Cricetulus griseus: one gene and its partners. The protein of the gene in region 1 interacts with the protein of each later gene in a pairwise test. Links are inferred from orthologs where the notes say so. Each region holds a gene or a part of one and is shown in the gene's direction. Other genes may lie near its edges. The genes, in order: Cdkn1a, Spred1, Trim54, Flad1, Bccip and Bag6.

The links.
Region 2: the proteins of Cdkn1a (region 1) and Spred1 interact in binary tests that used the Homo sapiens proteins (3 or more experiments, as listed by UniProt). The link is inferred for Cricetulus griseus from reciprocal best matches to the Homo sapiens genes CDKN1A and SPRED1.
Region 3: the proteins of Cdkn1a (region 1) and Trim54 interact in binary tests that used the Homo sapiens proteins (3 or more experiments, as listed by UniProt). The two-hybrid records come from large-scale screens. The link is inferred for Cricetulus griseus from reciprocal best matches to the Homo sapiens genes CDKN1A and TRIM54.
Region 4: the proteins of Cdkn1a (region 1) and Flad1 interact in a two-hybrid assay, tested with the Homo sapiens proteins (2 studies listed by BioGRID and IntAct). The link is inferred for Cricetulus griseus from reciprocal best matches to the Homo sapiens genes CDKN1A and FLAD1.
Region 5: the proteins of Cdkn1a (region 1) and Bccip interact in a two-hybrid assay, tested with the Homo sapiens proteins (2 studies listed by BioGRID, with this or other methods). The link is inferred for Cricetulus griseus from reciprocal best matches to the Homo sapiens genes CDKN1A and BCCIP.
Region 6: the proteins of Cdkn1a (region 1) and Bag6 interact in a two-hybrid assay, tested with the Homo sapiens proteins (2 studies listed by BioGRID and IntAct). The link is inferred for Cricetulus griseus from reciprocal best matches to the Homo sapiens genes CDKN1A and BAG6.

The regions. Positions count from the first base shown.
Region 1 is NW_023276806.1:257,585,731-257,589,748, forward strand, and holds the start of Cdkn1a (cyclin-dependent kinase inhibitor 1), read left to right. Parts: upstream 1-1,218; 5' UTR 1,219-1,458; intron 1,459-4,018. UniProt on the Homo sapiens protein: Plays an important role in controlling cell cycle progression and DNA damage-induced G2 arrest. Involved in p53/TP53 mediated inhibition of cellular proliferation in response to DNA damage.
Region 2 is NC_048599.1:61,431,556-61,435,634, reverse strand, and holds the start of Spred1 (sprouty-related, EVH1 domain-containing protein 1), read left to right. Parts: upstream 1-1,279; 5' UTR 1,280-1,399; coding exon 1,400-1,431; intron 1,432-4,079. UniProt on the Homo sapiens protein: Tyrosine kinase substrate that inhibits growth-factor-mediated activation of MAP kinase. Negatively regulates hematopoiesis of bone marrow.
Region 3 is NC_048600.1:13,268,719-13,272,750, reverse strand, and holds the start of Trim54 (tripartite motif-containing protein 54), read left to right. Parts: upstream 1-1,232; 5' UTR 1,233-1,649; coding exon 1,650-1,817; intron 1,818-4,032. UniProt on the Homo sapiens protein: May bind and stabilize microtubules during myotubes formation.
Region 4 is NW_023276806.1:65,142,621-65,145,937, forward strand, and holds the end of Flad1 (FAD synthase), read left to right. Parts: intron 1-56; coding exon 57-246; exon of another isoform or gene 247-1,812; intron 1,813-2,414; coding exon 2,415-2,488; intron 2,489-2,600; coding exon 2,601-2,736; 3' UTR 2,737-2,817; downstream 2,818-3,317. Other genes in the region: Lenep (lens epithelial cell protein LEP503), read left to right, coding at 3,268-3,317. UniProt on the Homo sapiens protein: Catalyzes the adenylation of flavin mononucleotide (FMN) to form flavin adenine dinucleotide (FAD) coenzyme.
Region 5 is NC_048596.1:67,160,233-67,164,282, reverse strand, and holds the start of Bccip (BRCA2 and CDKN1A-interacting protein), read left to right. Parts: upstream 1-1,250; 5' UTR 1,251-1,281; coding exon 1,282-1,443; intron 1,444-4,050. UniProt on the Homo sapiens protein: During interphase, required for microtubule organizing and anchoring activities. During mitosis, required for the organization and stabilization of the spindle pole.
Region 6 is NW_023276806.1:231,657,285-231,661,489, forward strand, and holds the start of Bag6 (large proline-rich protein BAG6), read left to right. Parts: upstream 1-1,405; 5' UTR 1,406-1,429; intron 1,430-1,633; exon of another isoform or gene 1,634-1,892; intron 1,893-1,923; exon of another isoform or gene 1,924-2,114; intron 2,115-2,425; exon of another isoform or gene 2,426-2,567; intron 2,568-2,668; 5' UTR 2,669-2,681; coding exon 2,682-2,789; intron 2,790-4,205. UniProt on the Homo sapiens protein: ATP-independent molecular chaperone preventing the aggregation of misfolded and hydrophobic patches-containing proteins.

The DNA.
Region 1 (4,018 bases):
TTTCTTTTTGTCATGGCCATGAATGTATATGCAGGCACACATGCCAGGTTCTCATGTGGAGGTCAGAGAACAACTTTCAGGGGTTGTTTTTCTCCTTCTTCATGTGTGTGGGTTTTGGGAGCCAAACTCAGGTCCTTAGGCTTGGTGGCGTATAAACTGATGGTGTGTCTGCTCTATGGTATGGCTAAGGGGAGGTATTTTTTTTAATGTAGTTATGAGGAGAGAAAAGTCAGAGGCATCTGGAAGAGACCGGAGCAGAGAGAGAGAGTAGTAGAGGGAACATGGCCAGTGGACTGGACTTGTCCATGAGTGAAACAGGAGCAGAGAGAGAGAGAGAGAGAGAGAGAGAGAGAGAGAGAGAGAGAGGGAGAAAGAGAGAGAGAGGGAGAGGGAGAGGGAGAGGGAGAGAGAGGGGGCAAGCAGAGAGAGGGAGAGAAAAGAACAGGGAGAGAGCAGAGAAAGGGAGAGAGCAGAGAAAAGGGAGAGAACAGAGATGGGGAGAGAGCAGAGAGAAGGAGAGAGCAGAGAGAAGGAGAGAGCAGAGAGGAGAGACAGGGAGAGCAGAAAGGGGGTAGAGAGAGAGAGGGAAGGAGGGAGACAGAGAGAGCAGGCCACAGGCAGCTGTTTTTTTCCTAAGCCCTGAGGGTTTTGTTTTGTTCTTCTCCTTTTCTCTTTGCTTCAGTCCATGGGCATTGATCCCTGGCATGCTAGGCAGGGGCTCGACCACCAAGCTTCATCCCCTAATTCTTTGGTTTTGCTCTTTGCATGAAGTTTCATTTACTGAAACCTCAGGTTGACCCTGAATTCACTCTACAGGCCTTGAACCTTCCATCCCCCTGCTTCAGACTCCGGCCTGACAACGTGAGTATTCTCCCAAAGGCAAGTCCCTTTCCACCCTCTTCCCCTCTGTTCAGAAACCCTAGGTTAGGGAGGATGGGCGGCTGATGGAGCCATTTCCAGCCAGTTGAAATACAGAGAGGGAGATTGGACCTTTCTTGAGGTCTCAGGGAGTGAACCCCCACCCTTCCAGATCTAGGCTGAGCACAATGCACCCCCTATAAGAAATTCTGGGGGGCTTCCTAGCAAGCTGTCTCCTAGGTCCCCAGGGGATTCAGGAGATTTGCCAAATAAGGGATTTCCTGCATGTGGGCCGGTAACTCCTTCGGCTTTGATGCTGTTTTTTTTTTTTTTTTTTTTTTTTTTCCTTTCCTTTGAAAGCTGTGTACCAGAAGGAGGAAGTGGGGTCCTGCTGTGTGTGGAGGCAGTGTGCACTGTTCCTTTGTCCCTGTGTGGACCTCATGGTTTCATTTCTTGTGGTGCTGGATGGTCCACATATGTGAGAACCCATTTCCTAGGCGCCTCTGCAGTGTTCTCTCGGTCTGTGCCTCAGCGGGAAAAGCCTAGGATGACTTCCTAGGCAGGAGGACATCCCATCTGCTCATAGAGACTCCGCAAGAAGTAAGTCACATCAACTGTGTCCCCAGCCAGGGACTACAGAGACCTCTGCAGCCATACACGGCCATCTGTCAGCTTCCCATCTATGGTCTGGTCTAGAGAAGGCAATTTGAGTACTCCTGAGCCAGTTGACAAAGTGCACACATCCTCTTTAGAGCCTTCTCCTTCCTCCAGCCCAGGGAATAGACCTCCAGGCCCTCAAGATTGGGAAGCTATAGGACAGAAAGGGCCTGGACCTCTGACTCACTGCATGGAGAGCACCGGCCACCTAGAACACCTTTCCTGGATTCACGAGTGTGAGAGATGATCTCCTTCTCCCTCAAATCTTTACCTCAGTGAAGTAACTGGCTCTGTTCTATCTTAGTTTCAGTTGGTCTCACGTAGAATGAGTGGGCCTCAAACTTATGGCAGTCCTCCTGCTTCTTCCCCTGAATATCAGGGGTGTGTTGCCACACTTGGTTCAGTTTAAACAGATCTTATGTGGCCTAAGCTGGTCTCAAAGACATGATCTTCCTGCCTGGGGTTATAGGTGTGTGCCCCAAGCACACCCTTGTCACATTTCATAGTCTGTCTGTTTCACAGTGCCAGGCCTCGCTCCATGTCCCCTTCATGCCCCCTCCATGCCCCACCCACCCTGCCAGCTCTTCCTCAGCCCTCTCCTAAGCTCTCAAATGTTTCCAGGAGGACACATGGTCCCCTCTCTACAAGTGCAGGTCTCTAAGAAGCCACAGAAGATCAACAGAGGACATCACACTGGTGACTCCTGGCTCTGCAACCATAGTGCGGCCACTGTCACTGGGGCTTAGAGGAGCTGCTGCTACATTCCGGGGTGGTTCTGGTGCCAATATAACCCCAGAGGAACCCAGAGACACCTTAGGGCAAAGACAAAGATGAGCAGCTGATGGAAGGGGCCACAGTAAAGACCCGGACTCACCCTGACCCCTGCCAGAGTCATTCCAGCCAAAGCTAGCAGCTCCCAGGGCCTTGTTTCCTGTCATCTGCCTACCTGTGCTGGGTGGAGGGGGGGCCATGGTTCTGAACTTCTGAGGCCATTGCCCCACTGTGCAATCAGAGGCTCCGAACCCCAAATCCTTAGCACTTTGATGGTGTATGCTGGGGCTTGTCTTGGGACGGGCTTTAACAAAGAACAGAAATAGTAAAGAATGCCAAGTCCTCTCTTGGGGACCATCCAGAAAGTTGAGCTTGAGGGAGGGGTATCTTGAAGGCTGTTTGTTTTGTTGAAACAGGATCTCATGTAGCTCAGGATGTCATCCAATTCAATTTATAACTGAGGATGACTTTAAACTTCTTTCTTTTTAAAAAAGATTTTATTTATTATGTATACAACATTCTGCTTCCATGTATATCTGCACACCAGAAGAGGACACCAGATCTCATAACGGAATGTTGTGAGCCACCATGTGGTTGCTGGGAATTGAACTCAGAACCTCTGGAAGAACAGTCGTTGCTTTTAACCTCTGAGCCATCTCTCCAGCTCCCTCTTTCTTTTAAAGATTTAGTTTATAGTTATGTGTATATGAGTGTGAGGTTTGTGCATGTGAGTGCAAGTGCCTGAGGAAGCCAGAAGGGGGCATCAGATCCCCTGGATCTAGAGTTCCAGGTGGCTGTGAGCTACCAAATGTAGATTCTGGGTCCTCTGCAAGACCACTATATACTCTTAACTGCTAAGCAATCTAGCCCCAAGACCTTGAACTTCTGAACCTCCTGCTTCAATCTCCTGGTGCTGGATGACAGGTGTGTGCTGCCACACCCAGTTTATACAGTGTTGGCATGGGTCCCAGGGCTTTGTACATGCTAGACAAACTCTATTGACTGAGCTACATCTTCAGTCTATAATTAGATATTTTAAAAACAAAAATGATTGAGCTGCATTTAAATTTGTGTTTTTACCTAACAAACCACATTAAAACCCATTGGTGTGGGTTTGATTCTTACATCACAACAAGCAAGGATGAAGAAGGACATAGCGAGGGCCCAGTGTAGTGGTGCTCACTTTTAACCTCAGCACTCAGGAAGCAGAGGCAGGAACTGGCCAGCACAGCAGGTAAAGGCATTTGCCATCAAACCCGACTGAGTTCCATCCCCGGGCCCACCTGGTAGGAGAAGACTGATTTCTCTGACATCCCCGGGGCCCCATGAAACACATGCACCCACATGCATGTGCACACACACTCACTCACACAAAATAAATAAAGTATAACATGTGCATACATATTTTTTAAGAAGCACAAGCTGAAGCCAGGCACAGTGGCACATACCTTTAATCCCAGCACTTGGGAGGCAGAGGCAGGTAGATCTTCATGAGTTTGAGGCCAGCCTGGTCTACAGAGTGAGTCCTAGGATAGCTGGGCTACATAGAGAGACTCTGTCTCAAACAGACACAGGAGAAACACATGGCAGAGCGGACAACATCTGAGGAATGACAAGCAGGGTTGGATTTTCTGGTGTGACACACCACACGTATACATACGCACCCTTACCTACACAGATGAACACATACATACAATATACAAGAAAGAAAAAAGAAGTTGATTTTTTTTCT
Region 2 (4,079 bases), on another chromosome or scaffold:
TTCTACACACACACACACACACTTTCTCTCCTCACTCCCCTGTGCAAGCAGCTAGGGGACTACAGCAATGCAACTAGAGGGACAGCAGGAGGAGCTCGCTTTGCAGTCCTGCCCTGTAACCCCCACTAACTAGAGATGAACTCAAGCCAGTTCCATTCTTTGCAAGGAAAACACAACACACGCGCGCGCGTGCACGCGCACCGAGCAGAACGGAGCGGCCTTCTGATTTCTTCCTCGAACACACGGTGGATGTGCAGCCTGTTTGTAGAGACAACCTGGACATTCCAGGCTGAGTAACGGGGAGTTGCGCGTCGCAACAATGCCAGTCCCGGAGCAGCTCTGCTCACAGATCCCACCCCCCGCCCCCTTTCGCGGCGTGCCAAGAGTTTGGAGCGCGCGCACGCACACGCGCGCGGTGCAGCGGTATATCCCTCCGCCGCCCTCCTCGCCCCGCTCCCGCTGCCCGACGATTTGGGAAGCGAGGGGAGGAGGGAACTACTTTTCGGAAACTTGTTATGCTGCCCACGATCTCGAGCTGCAGTGATTCGCCTGCGGGCCGTGGCTTTTAGGTCTTCCCCCACCTCCCAGAGGCCCCGCGCTGCCCGCTCGCAGCCGCGCCCCACGTCCGTCCGCTCGCCCGCCCGCCTGCTCCCGCGCGCCCCAGAAGTCGCGAGGGACTACTTCGCCTGCCTCTCCCGCGGGCGCCCCCGGTTCGCGCGGCGGAAGGAGCGGGCGGCGTGAGAGCTTCCGCCGCCCCCCTCGCGGCTCCCCTCTCGCGGGCGTGAGGAGCGGGCCCGCGGAGCTGCGCTGGTCTCGGCCCTCCTCGCCGCCGCTCGGAACTGTGCCCTCGGGCTCGGACGGCCACTTCGCGCCCTGCCTGCGGCCCCCAGCTGGAGCGCGTCTGAGGGAGCCCCTGAGGGCCGACCGGGTCGGCGCGCCGCGCGGGCAGCCGGCGGCCAGGCGGGAGATGGTGCGCGGCACCTCGGCGGACCGCGCCGCCGCCCGCAGCCAGCGCTCGGCTGCCCCCCGCCCCCGCCGCCGCCCTCCAGTCGGCGCGCCCTGAGAGCTGCACCGCCTCAGCCGCCGGCCGCGTCCCTTCCAGCGCCTGCAGCCGCCCGCGCCGTCTCGGCGTCGCACCCGGCCTCGGCACAGCGAACCGCTGGGGTCGCCACGGCCGCGCTCACTGCCGCCGCCCCCCTGCGGGGGTGGCCGGGCTGCCCGGCTCGCGGGGCGCCGCTCCGGGTGAGGCGTCCACCATGGTGAGGCCCCCGAGCCGCTGCCCGCGCGCCCCGCCGGCCGCCGCCGCCGCCGGCCCGCCGTCCCTCGGTGCCGCCGCTGCCGCTGCTTCCCCGCCTGCTATTGCTCCTTCATCTCCTGAGCGGATCACGGTGAGGGAAAGATGAGCGAGGAGACGGCGACTTCTGACAACGAGTAAGCGAGCCCTGGTGGGCAGCCCCCTCCCCCCCAGCCCGTCCCGCCCGGGAGGTGATAGATGCCCGATGTGTCGTCGGGTTGTGTTCTTTCATGGCAGCACCCCTTTCCATCTTTGCAATCGCCTCCCTGCTTGGGGAAGGCTATCGAGTGCGGAGCAGAGGCGGTGTAGCAATCGGACGTCTCCGAGACGGAGTAATGTGGGTGGCTCAAAGTGGAGTAGAAACTACCCTTTGCCTGCCCTTCACTCCTGCATCCCCCCCCCCCCCAGCACCTTGAACATCCAGCCATCTCCCTTTACATCTATTTCGCTCGGAAACTAATGTGTGGGTGCACCTCCTGCCGCAAACTGCTCTCGAATCCTAATTCGATGACTCAGTGACTCTTAAATGCTGCCGATTAAGCCTTCGCCCCCTGTCCCACTTTTTAAACTTATGACCTATACTGGTCTGGTAAAAAAAAAAAAATAGGGTTAGGGAAACATTTTAAGAATTAAATAGGATTAAGAACACCTGGAGTGTGGGCGATGTTGAGCTATTGTTTTGTTTTAGACCTTGGCGAATATTGAACTCGTCCTCATTAAGAACAGAACAATTAGGAATTTTGAATGCTAGTGTCTGGCTTTCGTCTGTGATAAAGCACCGTTTACATTGCCGAACGCGTTGGTGACTTTGTCAGTTTCATCTAGAGCATTCCGCGACTTTAAGTTTTTTGCTTATTTGGGCTGTCCTTATGTTTTCCAAACGAAGCACTGTGCCTTTTAAATATAGCAGCCGCTTGGAGGAAGAATGGTGCTGTAAGATTTTCCTGTTGAGAAGGGAGTTAATTTGAGGCAGAATATTGGCGTCCGTTTTCTTGTGATTGAGTTCAAGTTTTGTTTGTTTCTGGAGGGTTATGAAGAGTTAAATGAGGATGCATTCCTTTAAATAAAGTACATTCCTCAAGTCAGACCTCTTCGAGAAGGCTTTAAGGGCCAGTGCCGAAGCCCGCTTAGCATAAAATAGCTAGAAAAATACCAGGCAGCGTCCCCCCCTCTTTGAAAAGCACACACTGAGGGAGAGGGCGTGGAAGGAGGTGGATTGCTGCAGTCAGTGCAGTCTAGAAGCAGAAGTGGCCGCCATGTTCTCTCTTTTTTGTGAATCGCCCTCATTTGCATAGCACACTTCATTCATAAAAAAAATAATTAAACATCCATCACCTTGGACAACTTGAAAGGGTTTCCTAAGAAAAACATTCGAAGCTTGTTTGTCTTTATGTAGATTTTTGAGTTCGGGAAGTGAGGAGAATTAGAAGTTTTAGATTAAATTTTAGAACATACGCACACACAAACAACTACCCCAGTTCTCAGAATGTTGACACAGTTATGTGGGAAATATCAGTTCGGGGAGGTGCTGGGATCACGTGATCGCCTCCATTCATAAAATACCTGGCTGTCCATTCACAGTGCAGTACACTGTCACTGCCTTCCGCAGACTAGACCTATTTTGAGCTAGATCTAGAAGCCTGTCTCAGATGGTGCTGGGTTAGGAGAAAAACTGCGGAAATGCTGAAGGGATTGTCGGGGACTTTAATTAGTATCTTGGAGGAAAGCAGCTGGGATAAAATCTTACCTATTTTAGAGATGGGGAAAGATTTCTTACCAGTTTAATAGTTTAGAAAGTATTATTTCCTTGATGCGGCTGAGGAACAAATGATGGGGTGTGTACTAATGCAGACATATGATAGATTGTTTCAAAACGGGCCTTTTTTTTTGGTATTATGGCAAATTGAAAGTGCAAGTAAGTGTGAGAGAGATCTCAGTGGATGGAACCTTTGTTGCACTAAATGAAACAAAAATATTTCCGATGTTTTTAACCCTCAAGGTATTGATGCTTTGAAACAGAACACTTTGGAAATAATTCATCCAGATTTTTAAAATTGTTTTCACAAATATATCCTGCCTTATTAATACATTGTTCCCCAGGAAAGGAGTCGTCTATGTTAGGATGTATTATCCTCTGAAAGGTTCTTCCTAGGGCATTTTTTTTTTTTTAATTAACGTTAGAAAATGGTTGTGTTCACCTGGTAGTCATTGCTGCTAGAGCTTACATTGTTTACTTGTGCCTTAGCTCAACCACAAAGTGGATTTCTTAGAATGTCAATTTTAATCTGGTCATTTGTAGATCTCATCTTTATCGTAGGAGGTGAAGTTTTGAAAATGGAAATTCAAAAATTACTTAAAATCATACGTTATGAAGGAGTGAAAGATACAGTAGGGCACTCATGGTTCTAGGTATAGTTTAAAATGGCCTTGTATTATTTTTTCCCTTTTTCAAAGGGATTTAATTACAGTAGAAATTGTTCTTAGCATTTTATTGCTTCATTTTTCTTTGTTTTTAGCCTTTTAAAGAAGGCGAAAAATTACTAATTTCTTGAAGACTGTTAACTTTTAAAAATTAATGGATAGCTGTTGTACTGAAATATAATAAGGCCTTTTAGAATACTCATTCTGAAAACCATTTGAATTTAGATTTTTTTTTAGTAGAGAAATAGCTAACTGAGGTGATTGTATATCTAATCAAGAATTAGTAGATGTATTATCTAAAAGGCTTTGTTTTAACAGTGACAAATGAGGAAATGAATGAGAATAGGATGAAGCACCCACACTT
Region 3 (4,032 bases), on another chromosome or scaffold:
AACTGCAGCATTCGGAATGTTTCCAGCCACATCTGTTCTCACACTTTTCCTTTTTTATATGTGTGTGTGTGTGTGTGTGTGTGTGTGTGTGTGTGTGTGTGTGTGTGTGTCTGCATGTGTGTGTCTGTGTAAATGGGTCTGCACATCTGTCTGTGCATGCCTGTGGAAGCCAGAAGAGGGCGCTGAGTCACTCGGAGTTGTGGTAAAGGGTGGTTGTGAGTGTTGGGGATCTGAACTCCACTCCTCATGAGACTGTCTTAACCATTGAGACATCTCCAGTCCACTACTGTCTCAGATTCTAAGCAAATTTAGCGTCCCTGAAATGGCTTCAGTGGTAGACCAGAATCACACACTCTCATGCCCTGATCATAAGGCAGGCCTGGGCTGGCACAGCAGCCATCTCTTGCCTCTTCAGCTGCTCTCCTAGGATGATATAACTGGCCATCCAAGGGCGATGTAGTTCAGTAAGCACAGTGCTTCTCTAGTACACAAAAGACCCCGAGTTGACGCCCAGAACCTCGTAAACTGGGAATAATGGTGTTCTCCCCTAATCCTAGCACTTTGGATGTAGAGTCAAGAGGATCAGGAGTTCAAGGTCATCCTTGATGACAGTGAATTCAAGGTTAACCTAATCTACTGAGAGCCTGTCTTTAATAAGGGAGAGGGAAGTTTGTGGCTAGATTGCTCAATAGGTAAAGGCATTGGTCACCAATTCTGATGACCTCAGTTTGATTTCTGTAACCCCCACACTGAAGAAAAAGAAGTGACTCCTGTCAGTGACCTGTGACCTCCACATATGCTCCATGTCATACCTACCCCTCCCTAAAGTAAATAAATGTAGTTGTTTTTTTAAGGCTGAACAAGAACAAATATGGACCAGACATATGGGACAAGAAGTTCTCTTTTGTAGGGTCTGGAGTTCCACTTCTGAATCCTGAGTCTCCAGGAGGAGGGTCAGGATCAATGCTCAGTATAAAAGGGAGAGACAGAAGTCTGTAGATCCGTCCAGACCATCCTTCCCACCCTGAGCCATGTGTGCTGTCTCTCCCATGTGCTAGTTTCTGTTAGGAAGAAGGTCTCAAGCCAGAACACGGAGAGCAGAGGTTGCAGGAACCTTCCCAGTGACAAGTGAGCCCCACACTGACCCACCACCCACTGAAAGCAGTGACACCCCTGCTGCTCTTCTTGCTCAAGAAAGCCACCAGCTGAGTGAGTCAGGGTCACTCAGTCCGGGACAGCTGTGGCTCGCCTTACATGAGCTAAATTGGGAACTGGAATGTCACACAAATGCCCCTTGTCTCCCTACCCCCACAGTAATATTAACCTCTCTAGCGAGCAAGGGACAAAGAGTACTGCCTGTAGAGTGAGCACGAGGGTGGTTTGGGGGAGCAAGAGAATTTCTCAGGGGGAGCTAAAGGGACAAGTTTGTGGAGACGGCTCTGAACAGGGAGTGCAGACAGAAGCGTCTGGAAATAGCCAGGGTGAGAGGGGCCGTTAGAGGGAGAGAAACAGGAAACATCACCCTTTCAAGAGGGAGCAAGATCAGGGATCCTAAGAATCCACAGACAGCCTAAAGTTTACAAGAAGTGTGCACAGGCAGCGAGAGAAGGCCAGAAACAGGGCCAAGGCAGGCACTAGAGCGCCAAGGGATGAACTTCACCGTGGGTTTCAAGCCGCTGCTAGGGGATGCACACAACATGGACAACCTGGAGAAGCAGCTCATCTGCCCCATCTGCCTGGAGATGTTCTCCAAGCCCGTGGTGATCCTGCCCTGCCAGCACAACCTGTGCCGCAAGTGTGCCAATGACGTCTTCCAGGTGGGCTTGGGGACAGCTGGGTCAGGTCTAGGAAGGGACTGGGTGGCAGGTCCCACAGGCGGGAGATGGTGACGCTGCCCCAACTCAGTGGCAGGAGAGTTGGAGGCTGTGGGATCCCAGAGGAAGCACGAGTCAGCAGTTGCCCAGAGCCTGGCAAGCACAGCCTGTGTGCACAGCGTCAGAAGGAGGACCCCAGGGAGACTGGCAGAAACTGGCAAGGAGGGTGGTCTTGCCTGGACTTTGTGGGAGCCTTACTAGATTTCATTTACTTTGAGGCTTTGTGGTTTTATTTATTTACTTTCTTTACACACCATAGATGAGATCAATGAAATATGAGGTATTAAAAAAATAATAGAGCCAGCAAGACAGTGAAGACACTTGCTACCAAAGCTGACAACCTGAACTTGATCCCCAAAACATAAAATTAAACCCTAGAATTAAAAATTTGTGACAAACCAGTGAGAAAGCCTATGATGCCAGCCGAGCTGTGTATATTTGAGATAGAGCTCCTCTCTCCATGAGGGAGCTGCTTAGACACAGTGGGCCAGGGAAGCAGAAGTTTTCCCCAGTTTCACACCTGTGAGCCCTCCTGACCTGGTGAAGAGGCCCATGGACCAACTGATACTCAGGTGATTTATGGACAGAGAGAAGGCAGAAGCAGAATTGTACTTCCCAGAAATGCCTGTGTAGCTGTGGTCATGAGGCCGGGCATAGCTAAGTTAAGTCACTGATATCATTCTGTCCACACATTTCAAAAATAAAAACAAAAAAGCTGGGCATGGTGATGCATGGCTGCAATCCCAGCCCTTGGGAGGTGGCAGCCGGAGAATGAGTTTAAGGCCAGCTTGGGCTATGTGAGACCCTGTCTAACCAACTAAATAAATGCATACATCATAATTCTTTATAAATTCATAGGCTTGCTTTCCTACCCTGTATCATTCATAGAGGTTCCAGTAGGCTGTAAACTAGATCAGAGGTCAGGGAGAGCGAAGGGACAGGACTCACGTGTACAGACATGAGACCTTGCAGATGAAGTAAAAACTGCAAGATCCGGGTGGCTTGGTGCAAATCTGTGACAGAAGCATCAGGAATAAGATTCCAGCCAGGAGCCAGGCTGTGTGACACATGCCTGTGGTTGAAACACCTAAGAGGACCACCACAACTAGAGACTAGCCTGTTATACATAACTCCCACAAACTAGAGGCTAGCCTGGTGTATGTAACCACCACAAACTAGAGACTAGTCTGGTCTATGTAACCCCCACAAACTAGTGGCTAGCCTGGTCTACATAACCACCACAAATAGAAGGTAGCTTGGTCTATGTAACCACCACAAACTAGAGGCTAGCCTGGTCTATGGAACAATTATACCAGTATATCCACTGGCTATGTATAGTAAGACCAAGTCTCAAAAATTAAATAAAAAAGTGGTAGGGCTGGAGAGATGGCTCAGTGGTTAAGAACTCTTGTTGCTCTCCCAAACAACTCAGTTTCCGTTCCCAGCATCCACATGATAGCTTACAACTGTCTAACTCCAGTTCCAGGGGACCTGATGCTCCCTTCTGAACCCTCCCCTCATGGGCATTATGCATGCAGGCAAAATACATACACATAAAATAAATCTCAAAAAGATTATTCCTGCTTTTCACAGACTATGAGGGAATGAGTTGAGCAGACATTTTCACACCTTTTTCCCTCCTCTCTTTGGTGCTATGGTTAATCCAGGGCATTGTGTGTGTTAAACATGCATTCTACCATTGCTCTACACCACAAGCCCCAACACAAGCTATTTTTTTAAAGATTTATTATGTATACACACACCAGAAGAGGGAACCAGATTTCATTATAGATGGCTGTGAGCCACCATGTGGTTGCTGGGAATTGAACTCAGGACCTCTGGAAGAGCAGCCAGTACTCCTAACCTCTGAGCCATCTCTCCAGCCCCAGCACAAGCTATTTTTAAAAAAATATTTCTTATTAGTGTGTGTGTGTATGTGTGTGTGTGTGTGCGCACAGAAGCCAGAAAAGGGTGTCAGATCCCCTGGAGCTGGAGCTGCAGTGTTTGTGATGTGGCAGCTGGGAACCAAACTCTGATGCTCTGAAAGAGCAGCATGTGTTCCAAATGGCCAGGCTGTCTCTCCAGTCTTGACACAAGTGGGTCTTAACTTCACTGAGAACATAGCCTTTTAGGTTCCTTGGCATAGCAGGCTTTCTTG
Region 4 (3,317 bases), about 190 Mb from region 1:
CGAGGGTCTGGGCAGAACTTGCCCTGATGCTCATCTCTGTTCTCTTCCTCCCTAAGGTATAATCTGCAGGTATTAGAAGCTGAGGGCAACATGAAGCAGGCCCTGGGTGAGCTTCAGGAAAAGCACCCTCAGCTGGAGGCTGTCCTAATGGGCACCCGTCGGACTGACCCCTACTCCTGTAGCCTTAGCCATTTCAGTCCCACCGACCCTGGCTGGCCTTCATTCATGCGCATCAACCCGCTGCTGGTAATGCAACAGAATCGTCTGCCTCAGTTCCCTGTACCTTCCCCTTGCCCACTGGGAGGAGGCTAGAGCCCAGAGGCTCTGTCTCTCAAGGGAGGCAGTGCTATTTGTTCATTCATCCTTTTAACCAATATTGAGCACTAATTCAGTGACAGGCATTGTGCTTTTCACTGTGGTCAAAACAGTGACCTGGACCTATGATAGCAGTCAGGCTGGAGACACGACTCAGTGGTTAAGTGCACTGGCTGCTCATCCCCAGAACCCGGGTTAAATTCCTAACACCCACATGGCAGCTCACAGCTATCTGTAACTCCAGTTCCAGGGGATCTGACACCCTCACACCAATATGATAGTAGTCATGTGTTCATACTTGAATTGAAATTGAAGTGAAATATAGGGCTGGAGAGGTGGCTCAGAGGTTAAGAGCACTGACTGCTCTTCCAGAGAACCCAGATTCAGTTCCCAGCACTCATATGACAACTCCTAGATCTGACACCCTCACACATACATGCAGGCAAAGCACCAATGCACATAAAATAAATTATTTAAAAGAAAGAAAGGAAATATAGATCATGGGGCTGAGGATGTAGCTCATTTGATACAGTGCTCGCCCAGCACACCTGAAAATCATGAACAGTGGCTCATGCCTGTGATTCCAGCCTCAGGAGAGTTACAAGTTCAAGGCCAGAGCTGGCAAGATGGCTCCGACATTAAAGGCACTTGCTGCCAAATCTGATCAAAGATGACCTCACTTTGATCTCCAGGACACAGATGGTAGAAGAAAAGAACTGACTCCCACAGCTTGCCCTTTGACCTCACACATTCCCTGTGTGGGCGAGTACACAAAGACACTCACACAAATACATACAATTTTTTTAAGGTTCAAGGTAAGCCTTGACTACATTGTGAATTTGAGACCAGACTAGGCATATCAGACTCTGTTTCAAAAATAGAAAAGAAAAAGATACTAATGATTAAGACTAAGAGGCTGAGGAAAAAGGGTTATGTGACTTCAAACCCAGCCTGGCCTACACAGTGTCTTCTAGGCCAGCCTGGGTGAAATCCTGTCTAAAGAAAACAAAAGCCCTGGACTATTTACTTTCAAAGGGTGAAATTTATGGCATGTGATTCATAATGTCTTTTTTTTTTACTTAAATAAAATTTAAAAATAAGTTAATAGGGCTGGGGAAGAGCTCAGTTGGTAGAGTACTTGCCTAGCTTGTACAAAGTTCTAGGTTCAATCCCCAGTACCACATAAAAGCAGTGTGGAGCTCAGTTGGTAGTGTGCTCCCCTGGATACACAGAGTCCTGGGTTCAGTCTGTAGCACCATACTTACACAAGCCTGCCCATTCCCCACTTGCCCTGTTTCACCAATCTAGGTGCATATCACTGGGGACTTGGGAGTGGCAGGAGGAACAGAAGTTCAAGGTCATTCCCAGCTGTATAGAAAGAGCCTAAGATGTGTAAGACATACCTAGTGGTGAATACCTCAGCTCCCAGCAGGTGGAGAGATAAGGCAGGAGGATGGCCATCTTGAGAACTGCATGAGCTAGCTACATAGTAAGACTCTGCCAGGAGGAAAGGAAAGAAAAAAAAAAACAAAACACTTTTTAAACAAATAGTTTATGCGTATGGGTGTTTTGCCTGAATGTATGTTTGAGTACCATGTGCACACCAGGTGCTTGAGGAAGTTAAAAGAGGATGTCAGAGTCCCTGGAACTAGAGTTACATATGGTTGTGAGCTGCCATGTGGATGCTAGGAATTGAACCTGGGTCCTCTGGAAGAACAATCAGTGCTTTTAATCCCTAAGCCATTTCTCCAGCCCTAAAAGTCACTTCTTAAGTTATACTAGCCACATTTCAAATGCCCATGGGGATAGACACTTCCACCATGGCAGAAAGCTCTAGACTTAAACACATAGTCGGTCATTCCCCATCCTCCTGAAGCTTCTACCACAGGGGCAGTGGCTGGGGAGTGGAAGCTGACAGGGGTAAGGACTTTCCCTACCTCTCTATTTAGCCCACACAGGGCAAGGTACAGCAGCCATCCAGATAGCAGCAAGCCTTCCCCAAGGCCAGGGGAACAAAAGTACCTCTGATGGGTCTATCCCCAGGATGGCAGTGGTGGGTGTGGTGAGGAGACTTCTAGTGACTGATTGTCATTTCCCAGGACTGGACCTACAGAAACATCTGGGATTTTCTTCGTCAGCTGTTTGTCCCCTACTGTATACTATATGACCGAGGGTAAGGTTGGTGTGTGTGTGTGGGGGGAGGTGGGGTGAGAGGATGCTGGAGATATAAGGAGGGATAACGAGAGCCCAGCTATCATTTACATGCTCCTGTTTCAACCCTCCAGGTACACATCACTGGGGAGTCGGGAGAACACGATGCAGAACCCAGCCCTGAAGTGCCTGAGCCCAGGAGGACACCCTGTCTACCGTCCAGCATACCTACTGGAGAATGAAGATGAGGAAAGGAACTCCCGCACATGATCTCACACACTCTGGACAAGACTGAGGGACGGGGCTGGCATGGGGTGTAACCTGTCACGTCAGTAAACTGTACCTCACACACCATTGTTGGTGCCTGTTGCTCTGGCCATGCCTTCCTGCTTTAAGGTCAAGGGAAGCAGAAGTGGACCAAGGCTGCCAGCTCTGAGCCAGCAGCGCTCACTCGGGGGCCCAGGGATGGGCTAGAACATACTAGACAGGGAACTAGGGATGCTCTCTGTCAGCCTTAGCCAGAGCCACCAAACGGGAGGAGGCAACCAGACAGAACTTCTGCTTTGAAGGGAAGTTAAGCTCTCTTGGCTGTAGAGGGTGAAAGATGGAGTGGCCACGCCCTCCCTTCTAACCACCAGCACCCCTGTCTATAGGGCTGACTCAGCCTGTTCCAAGGCCCAGAACCTTCTTTTGCTAGACCCTAGAGCCTTTGTCTTTAGTCATGAGGCCTGGTGGGGTGGGGACAGTAGATAAAAGGCCCCAAAGGCAGCATCCACACCCTTCCACTGAACTGCTGTCCACATGAAGCCACCAATGCAACCCCTAGCCCAGGCCCTGCCCTTCTCTCTTGG
Region 5 (4,050 bases), on another chromosome or scaffold:
AACCCAAGTAGAGGTCTGGATTTAGGAAGTAGCCATTTTAAGTTACTCTATCAGAGGTGTAATCCTGGTGTCATTACTGTCCACGATATAGACTGGTACATAAGAAGCTCCCGGGACACCTAGATCTCACCGTCATGGGAACTCTGGGTTAATGGGGGCCTTGGTGTCCTGACTGATGAAGAATCATTGGGGCTATTCACATTCCCTAAATTTCTCTGGCAAAGGCTTCCTTACTTCTAGGGGCAGCTCACTCTGGTTTCGGAATTAAACACACCTCATATGCTGCCGTAATTTTAAAGAAAAAAAAAAAGGGAGGGGGAGAATCACAGAGCCTCTTGTCAGGAAGTTAATGTTTTCTCTAGTTAATGATCTTTCTCAATAACCTTTACAAGGAGCTTCAAGTCAGCAGACTGTAGGATAAACCTGACTGGTAGAAGGTTCTAACCTTCAGGATGCTCCTTGCAAAAATCTGGCTTCTCTTAAAATCTGAAACTTTGGACCAGTACTTCATTTATCCACAAGTAGTGGCAGAGGCGGGGTAACACTCGCTAACTTGCCGCAATCCCTTTCTTTCGGTTCTATTCTTTTCAAGCAAGTCTTTTAACGACACTGTGGTCCCATGTGGTCGTCTTGTCTACTGAGAACTTTGTTAGGGAGATGGCATGGGCCCGGCCCCTGCCAGGATCAGCCGGCCTTCTGGCGCGGACTCCGGGAGCGCCGGTCAGCCCCTCTTTGCACGGGAGTCACGGATCGCTAGGGCCTGCGTGCAAGTCCACAGACCTGTGCCCTAGTCGGGTCCTGAGCCCGACACCTACCTCGCGGGCTCAGAAGCAGGACCGACCTGCACGCCGCGGGGCAAGAATCTCGCGGTCCCTGTCGGGGCTGCTGAGCACAGACAACCGGGAGCCGCCCCTCACCCGGCAGCTAGCGGTCCCCGGGCTCGTACCTCAGGCGCGTGGGCCGCCCGTACACATCTGGCTGTGCACGCGCACAGGCATCTAGGCGCCGGCGGAAGGAACGCAGGATGGGCCCAACCACTGCGCACACAGGAAAGACCCGGAGAGAATGAGGACGGCAGGAGGATGGAGGGAAGAAGAGAGGGTCACACCATGACCCCGCGGTGAAGATAAATCTGTCACATTAGTTCTGCGGGACTCATCCAGGGCTCTGTCTGGGTCGCGCCGACTCCGCGGCGAACTTTTTGAGCCTGTTTACCCCTAGGCCAACGATAGACCGGAAGGACAGGGGCGGGATTTGCGCAGGCGCAGTGTGGCCGGCAGCATGGCATCCAAAGCTAAGAAGCGAGCGTTGGGAAACGGGGTTCAGCGGCCTCTGGGACAGCAGGACCAGCGCGAGGAGGAAGAAGAGGATGAGGTGGAGGGTGAGGAAGAAGACGATGAAGACAGTGACGAGGAAGAGGATGAAGACGAGATCGTGGACGAGGTGAGGCACATGTGACCATATTTTTGGGAGAAAACAAAATTCAGGCAACCGAAGCTGTGGTAAAGTGATAGTCGCTGTGGTTCAGGAGTTGAACCTTACGTGGTACATTCTTACCCAGGTTCTCACCTCAGGCTTTTCTACACATAACTCCTTGAAGCCCTGCCCGGGTGAATTACATCCCCCAGAAGCCGGCCAATCCCACACACACTTACTTCAGTGGCCCAAGTCTTTACTGGCCCAGCGTACCGACGAAGTTTCTTCTCTCCTCTCCCTGCTACACTGGCTTGCTCACTCTGGCCCTTTGCAGTTTCGTAAAGGCTACCTGCATTGTCCTACACTCTTCAAACGCTCTTCATCCTGCATAGTTTCCCCTTCGTTATGTCTGTCTGTCTGTCTGTCTGTCTAATCACAGCTAGACCGTATTTCCTGCCTCCCTGGGACAGCCAACGTGGTCAGATTTGGTTTTGTGGTCTCACAGAACTGATGTCCTTTCTTAGTACCTACTTTCCGGTGGTTGAAGCCCTTCTTTCTAGGTGAATGATTAGGATTCAAACAGTGTTCAAGACAATTGCTGTCTAGGGACTTCAGACTTGACGGTCCAAAGCAGGGTTTATAATAGTTCCCCAGTTTGCCGGTGTTATGCCTCCTATCTCACCCCTCACCCAGTCCATCAGTAAATTCTATTAGCTTTTTCCTTCAGTATCCAGGCACATATTGATCCTGCTACTATTCTAGTTCACACTTCCATCATCTCTTGTCTGGTTACTATAAAGGTTTTCCTTTTTTTTTTTTTTTTTTTTAGATGAAATTAAGACTGGGATAGCCACAGCGAAATTACCTGTAACTTTATTTTGTTGTTTTTGAAGTGCTGCGAATCAAACCCAGTATACTGTGCATGGTAGGCAAGCACTTTACCATTGAGTCATACTTCCAGCCATCTATAGTAGCTTTTCACTGTCATGCCTTTCCATTTTTGTCCTTCTACTGTCTGTACTCCATTTACTGCCAGAGAGATCTGGCTGGTCTATTCTACTCTCCCTCATTGAATGCTCTAATGGCTTCCTATTTCCTTTGTAGAAAAATCCTAAATCCTGTTTTTGAAAGACAGGGGGATGGGGTGGGGGTGGGGTAGAATATGGATTCAGCCAGGATGGCTGGCTCAGAACAGGCAAGAGAGAATGAGTGAAAATGGTCATTGACGTGAATGTGCAAGGGAGGAGGAGTTGAACTGTAGTGCGGCTTTGGGAATGAGGCTATGATGTGGATATGTAGCTTGTCTACCCTTCCAAGTCATTGCTTTGCTTTGTCTATCTTGCTTTGAACACCATCTCAACATTTTCACTTAGAAAAATGTTTACCAGCTGTTTTGCTACCTTAGGGTTTTAGAAGTCAGCACTTCTTTCATTAACATGGGAAAATCTTAACAGATTGCCAGTGACTAAAAATGTGTGTACTGTAATTATAAAATGTGGGGAGAGGGAACCACAGATGAGAGATTTCCTCAATCACGTTGGCCTGTGTGCTTGTCTGTGGGCATCTGCTTAATTAATTGATATGGGAGAGTTCAGTGCACTGTGAGTGATGCCACCCCTGGTCCTGGGTGGTATAAACAAGCCAGTAAACAGTGGTCTCTGTGGTTTGCTTCAGTCAGTTCTGGCCCTGAGTTCCTGTCCTGACTTCCCTCCACAAGGAAGAATTACCTGGAAGTGTAAGATAAAAGAAACCCTTTCCCTCCCAAGTTGCTTTTGGTCATGCTGTTTTTCACAGCAACAGAAAGAATGCCATCATTGATAATAGTGTAGCAATATAAGCACTTACATGCTCTGTTAGTGGAAGCATAAATCTGTGCAACTTCTTTGGAGGGTAATTTGACAGAATTTATCAAAATTTAAAGTACATATAACTCCTGACTCAGTAACTTGTAGGAATTTACCCTCTAGAAATTGACAGTGATAATAACAATAACTATATATACCCCCAGGCTCTGTGCATTTTGTATTAGCTCATTTAATTCTCATATCAGCACCATAAACTTAGGAATTGTCACTATTTTACAAGTTAGCCCACACAGCAAGTTAAGGCAAAATGTGTATATATAGTTATGTAGAGGAAAAAAGAAACAAAGGTGGGGTGGGGGGGATCCATCAGCTTCTGTGTTTGTTGTTTGACAGTACCGTGAAGAGAAGAGGAAATCCTTGGTGGGTATTTCTTCCTTCATTTAATTGAAGAAGGCTTTCATTTTCTGATACATTTATTCACCCACAATTAATTTCTCTGATGTAAAAGTCCATGAAAATTATCCTGGAAGATCAGAATCAATCTCAAACCTTTTAAAAAACAATGGTCTATCAAGAATAAAGGAATGTGTATAGCTCAGGTCCTGCAGAGGTAGCTTTTTCTCTTGGATTCTGTTGCTAGCTGCTTACCAAAGTGGTTAGAGGACTGGGGGACATATGCCTTCTTTTTTTTTTGGGGGGGGGCGGTTCGGGACAGGGTTTCTCTGTGGCTTTGAAGCCTATCCTGGAACTTGCTCTGTAGATCAGGCTGGCCTCGAACTCACAGAGATCCCCTGCCTCTGCCTCCCTGAGTGCTGGGATTAAAGGTGTG
Region 6 (4,205 bases), about 26 Mb from region 1:
TTAGTTGGGCATGTTAATTAGGTGAGCCAAAGGGGGCTTTCGGTTGCTGGACTTCAATACTTTGATAGCTGATCTTGGTAGTCAGCCTCAGGGAGAGGTAGTGGCCAAAAAGGGTTTGCTTCCTGAATCCTCAGGCAAGCTTTAATAAGTCACAAATATATCCCTACAATGGTGACTATCTTCAGGAATGTAACCTAACAGTTTTGAGCAGGGGAGAGGGAGTAAGAGAAGGGTAAGGATCGCCAGATCCATGCTGGACACACTCACGCTGGCCAGAGTCCGACTGCCATTCAGGCCACCCTTGGTACTTACTATCTTGCTACAAAGCAATCACAAAAACGTGGGCGGTGATAGGCATGACCGTTCTATTGGAGTGATGCTCAGGCTTGTGTGTGGGAGCAAGGGATCAAACCCAAGGCCTTGGGCTTGCCGGGCAAGTGCCCTCCCACTCCAGCCCTTCCAATTTTATGAGGACACACTAAAAGGTGGGTTTAGGGTGCTTGATACCAAGCCAAGCCTGAGGACCTGGCTTTGATCCCCAGGTCCCCACAGTGGGAAGGGGACTCCGGTATGTTTCTCCACACTTAGGCTGCTGTGGTAGATGCAAGGCACATAGCCCGCCGCCCCCCCTTCCCCCTCCAAAAAAATGTTTTTAGGACAGAGGTGGGTGGATCCCTGAGTTCCGGGACAGCCAGATCTACATAGTGAGAACCGCGTTTCAGAAAAATAAATAAATGACGTCTGGCCGGGTGCCACAGGGCGACTTTAATGCCAGCCCCGGGCAGTGGCGTGGAGCTGTGGGGCTGTGGGGCGTGAGGAGTTCCAGGCACTTCAGGGGAACACGGTGAAAGCCTCAGCATTCAGGCTGGGACAAAGCAACCACTGCTCACTAAACAGTGCTCACTGCCGGCGGGGATGAGCGGGGAACCCCCAACCCCTTCTCTCGCCCTTTAACCCTGTGGCCCGGGCACGCGCGCTGGGGGTTTGCTTGGTCTTGTCTTTTCCAGAGCGCTAGCGCTTCCCGGCGTAGCCCAGGCCGGCCTCCGGGGGCCGGGGTCACAGGCGCGCGCCGGCCCCGCTTCCACCAGCGGCGAAACGCTCGGTGGTCTTGAACCATGGCGCTCCCTCGGGCGCCCTCGACCAACCAACGACCCTCAGCACACGCCACAGTCTGCGAGGCGCGCAGCCGCCCGGTCCGGCTCGGGTGCGAGCGCACACGGCCCACGGAACGTCCAACCGTCGGGCGGCGGGGGGCGGGGGGGAGCGGCTTCCGGGAGCGCAGGCAGTGCGGGAGGACCAGAGGCCCTGCCGGGGCTTAGGTGGCTAGGGCTGTGCCCGTGCGTTTCCTCTGCCCGCCCAACGCGGACGCAGGCGCACGGCGTGCAACAGCCCCACGAGTCCCCCACGGGCGTCCACAGCGTCTCTCCGGGTAGGGGCGGCATCCCGCTCAGCGAGGGTTTCCTTCAGGCGTTACGGCGGCCACCTCGGCCGTGCGGCGCTTGCGGGGCGCGCGCCGTGGGGGTGGGGGCGGGGGGCGGCGGAGAAACGCACGCAGCCCGAGGCGAGGCGGGGCGGGGCGGGGCGGGGGGCGGGGCTGCGGTGTGCGCACGCGCCGCGCGGCTCACGCAGGCGCAGTGCGGTCCCCCGGGCGACGGCGGCGGCGGCGGCGGCGGCTCCTCGGGGTGGTCGGCTCCCTCCCATCTAGGCCGGCCCCGGCCCGTCTCGGCCCCTGGGAACTCACTGTCTGGGGCTGCGGACTTCCTCGTCGTGCCCCGCAGAAGCAGATTGGGGGGAGCCTGGGGGAGCCGGAAGTACCGCCTCGAGAGCCCCAAATACGATCGGGGAAACGGAAGTGGCCTGTGGTGCCCGCTTGGGGGAGGCCGGAAGTGACGGTACGGCGGGGAGCCGGCGGGGGGGGCGGAGCCGCGGGGCGCTGCGCCGCGCCTCGCCGTGTGTGTGTGTGCGTGCGTGCGTGCGTGCGTGTGTGTGCGTGTGTCTGTGTGTCCGTGTGTCTGTATGTGAGGGGCCGCGTGTCGGGCCGCGCGCGCTGCTGCTGCAACGCCGGCGGAGGCGGAGGCGGAAGGACGGGCGGCCAGCGAGCCGGTCGGGCTCCCGTGAGTGTCCGCGTCCCCGGCGCCTGTGGTGCTTGAGGCGGGTTCGATCGCCGTGGCGCGCGTGCGCGGAGCCACTTTGTCCGCCGAGCGCGGCGCGGCGCGGCGCGACCCGACCCTCCCCCCGCCCCCCCCTCGCGTTGTCCTCGGCTCTCCCGCTCTCTCGGGCGCTTGCTGGGTCGCGACCGGTGATGACAACTGGTGTCCGGTCGGTCTCGTGCTTGCTTGCCCGGCTCGTAGCCCAACTGGCTCTCCCGACCGTGATTGGCACCGTGGAGCCCCTCCCACCGCTCGCCCTTCGCCTCCCGGTGCCGTCCCCCTCCTGCCCTTTGTGTTTCTCCTCCCGGGCCTCGGGGCCGAGGAGGGGGCGATGAGGGCGAGGACGAGTGGATGTGTTTGTGTATGAGAAACTTTGAGAGGGATCGGGGCGGAGGCCGGGCCCGGACGCTCTTCCGGGTGTGTAGAAGGCGGGGCGGGCGGGCGGACGGACTGACGGGCGAGCGGGCGAGCGAGCGGGCGGCGGCGAACCACCCCCTCCCTCCCTCGTCTCTCCGTAGAGAGCTGTCGGCCATGGAGCCGAGCGATAGTGCCAGGACCGCTATGGAGGAGCCCGACAGCCTGGAGGTCCTGGTGAAGACCCTGGACTCTCAGACTCGGACGTTCATTGTGGGGGCCCAGGTGAGGCGGGGGGAGAGGCGGCGGTGTGTGTGCCCGCTTCGCTCGTGTGCCTTCCGAGGGGCGAGCCTGCTTGTCTTGTCACCGACTCCTTTGTCCCTCCCTCGGTAGAACCTCTGATGTTCCTGTTGAGTGAGGAGGTGTGGTTACCGTTGAGTGAGGCAGGTTTTGTTCCGCCCGCCTTCACCTCGGTGGAGCTCGGTGGAGAGGGAAATGCCGCGGAGGAATCTGTACCTGGCCTGGGCGGACCTCTGCCCACAGGGACACGGATGATTCCGGCCTGGGGGACCGGAAGCAGCACCGGGGCCTCAGACAAGTGTGCTGTGTTTGCTCTGTCTTTGAACAACTTGTTCTCGGCCTTAACACTGTATTTATAGATCCCGGGAGCCTGCTTTTGTGCTCTGTTCAGGAGGATTGCCAATATCTTGAGGGGTGGTTTGAACCTCCCGAGCTTACAGGGTGCAGTGTGGGCACAGTTATCTTTGTCTTTACTGCATAAATCTTTTCGGGAACAAATCATGAACGGGTCACTTTCGTGGTTTTATAAAACATTGGGAACACCGGGTACACTTTCGTGAGTAGGTGTCTGATGGCCCTTACCAAGAGTTACTGTCTAATTTGGAAGATTCTTTTTGGGGGTGGTAGGGACAGCAATACCTCATAGAGCTCAGGCTGGCTTTGACCTTCTGACTTCCATCCTCTGTGCTAGGATTTTAGGTGTAGCATACCTGACTTGTTTTAGGTTGTTTTGTTTAGTTTTTCCCCAATAGGGTTTCTCTGTGTAGCCCTCTCTGTCCTGGAGCTTTATCTGTAGACCAGGCTGACTTCAAATTCAGAGATCCGCCTGCCTCTGCCTCCCGAGTGCTGGGGTTAAAGGCGTGCTCCACCATTGCCTGGCTGAGGTAGGGTTTTAAGTGTCTTAGAACTGATTGTCTTTTGGATTCGTCATCCTCCTGTCTCTGCTTCCCAAATTTGGGGGTCTCAGGTGTGTGCTACCACGTTGGTTTGTTTGGGTTCTTCATTTTCCCTCCTCCCCTTATTGGGGGGGGGATGTTCCTACTGGTGTTGAACCCTGGACCTAGCACAAAGTACCTACCCCTGAACTCTAGGAAACCTCCTGGGCTCCCTTCTTACTTCTTCATTAGTTATCTTCCCAGACCCTGGATCCCAACCCAGTATTACTTGCCATTGGTGGAAATGGTTGTTTGAGGGTGTATCAGGTGTGTCATCCCCCCAGGTTTCTCTGTGTACCTCTTGCTATCCTGGAACTCAATCTGTATAGCAGTCTGGCCTAGAATTCACAGAGTCTGCTAAGATTAAAGATGTTCACCACCACCTGGCTTCAAAAAAAATGTTTTTAAGACTTTATTCATTTTTGTTTTTGTTTTTGTTTTGTTTTGTTTTGTTTTTCGAGACAGG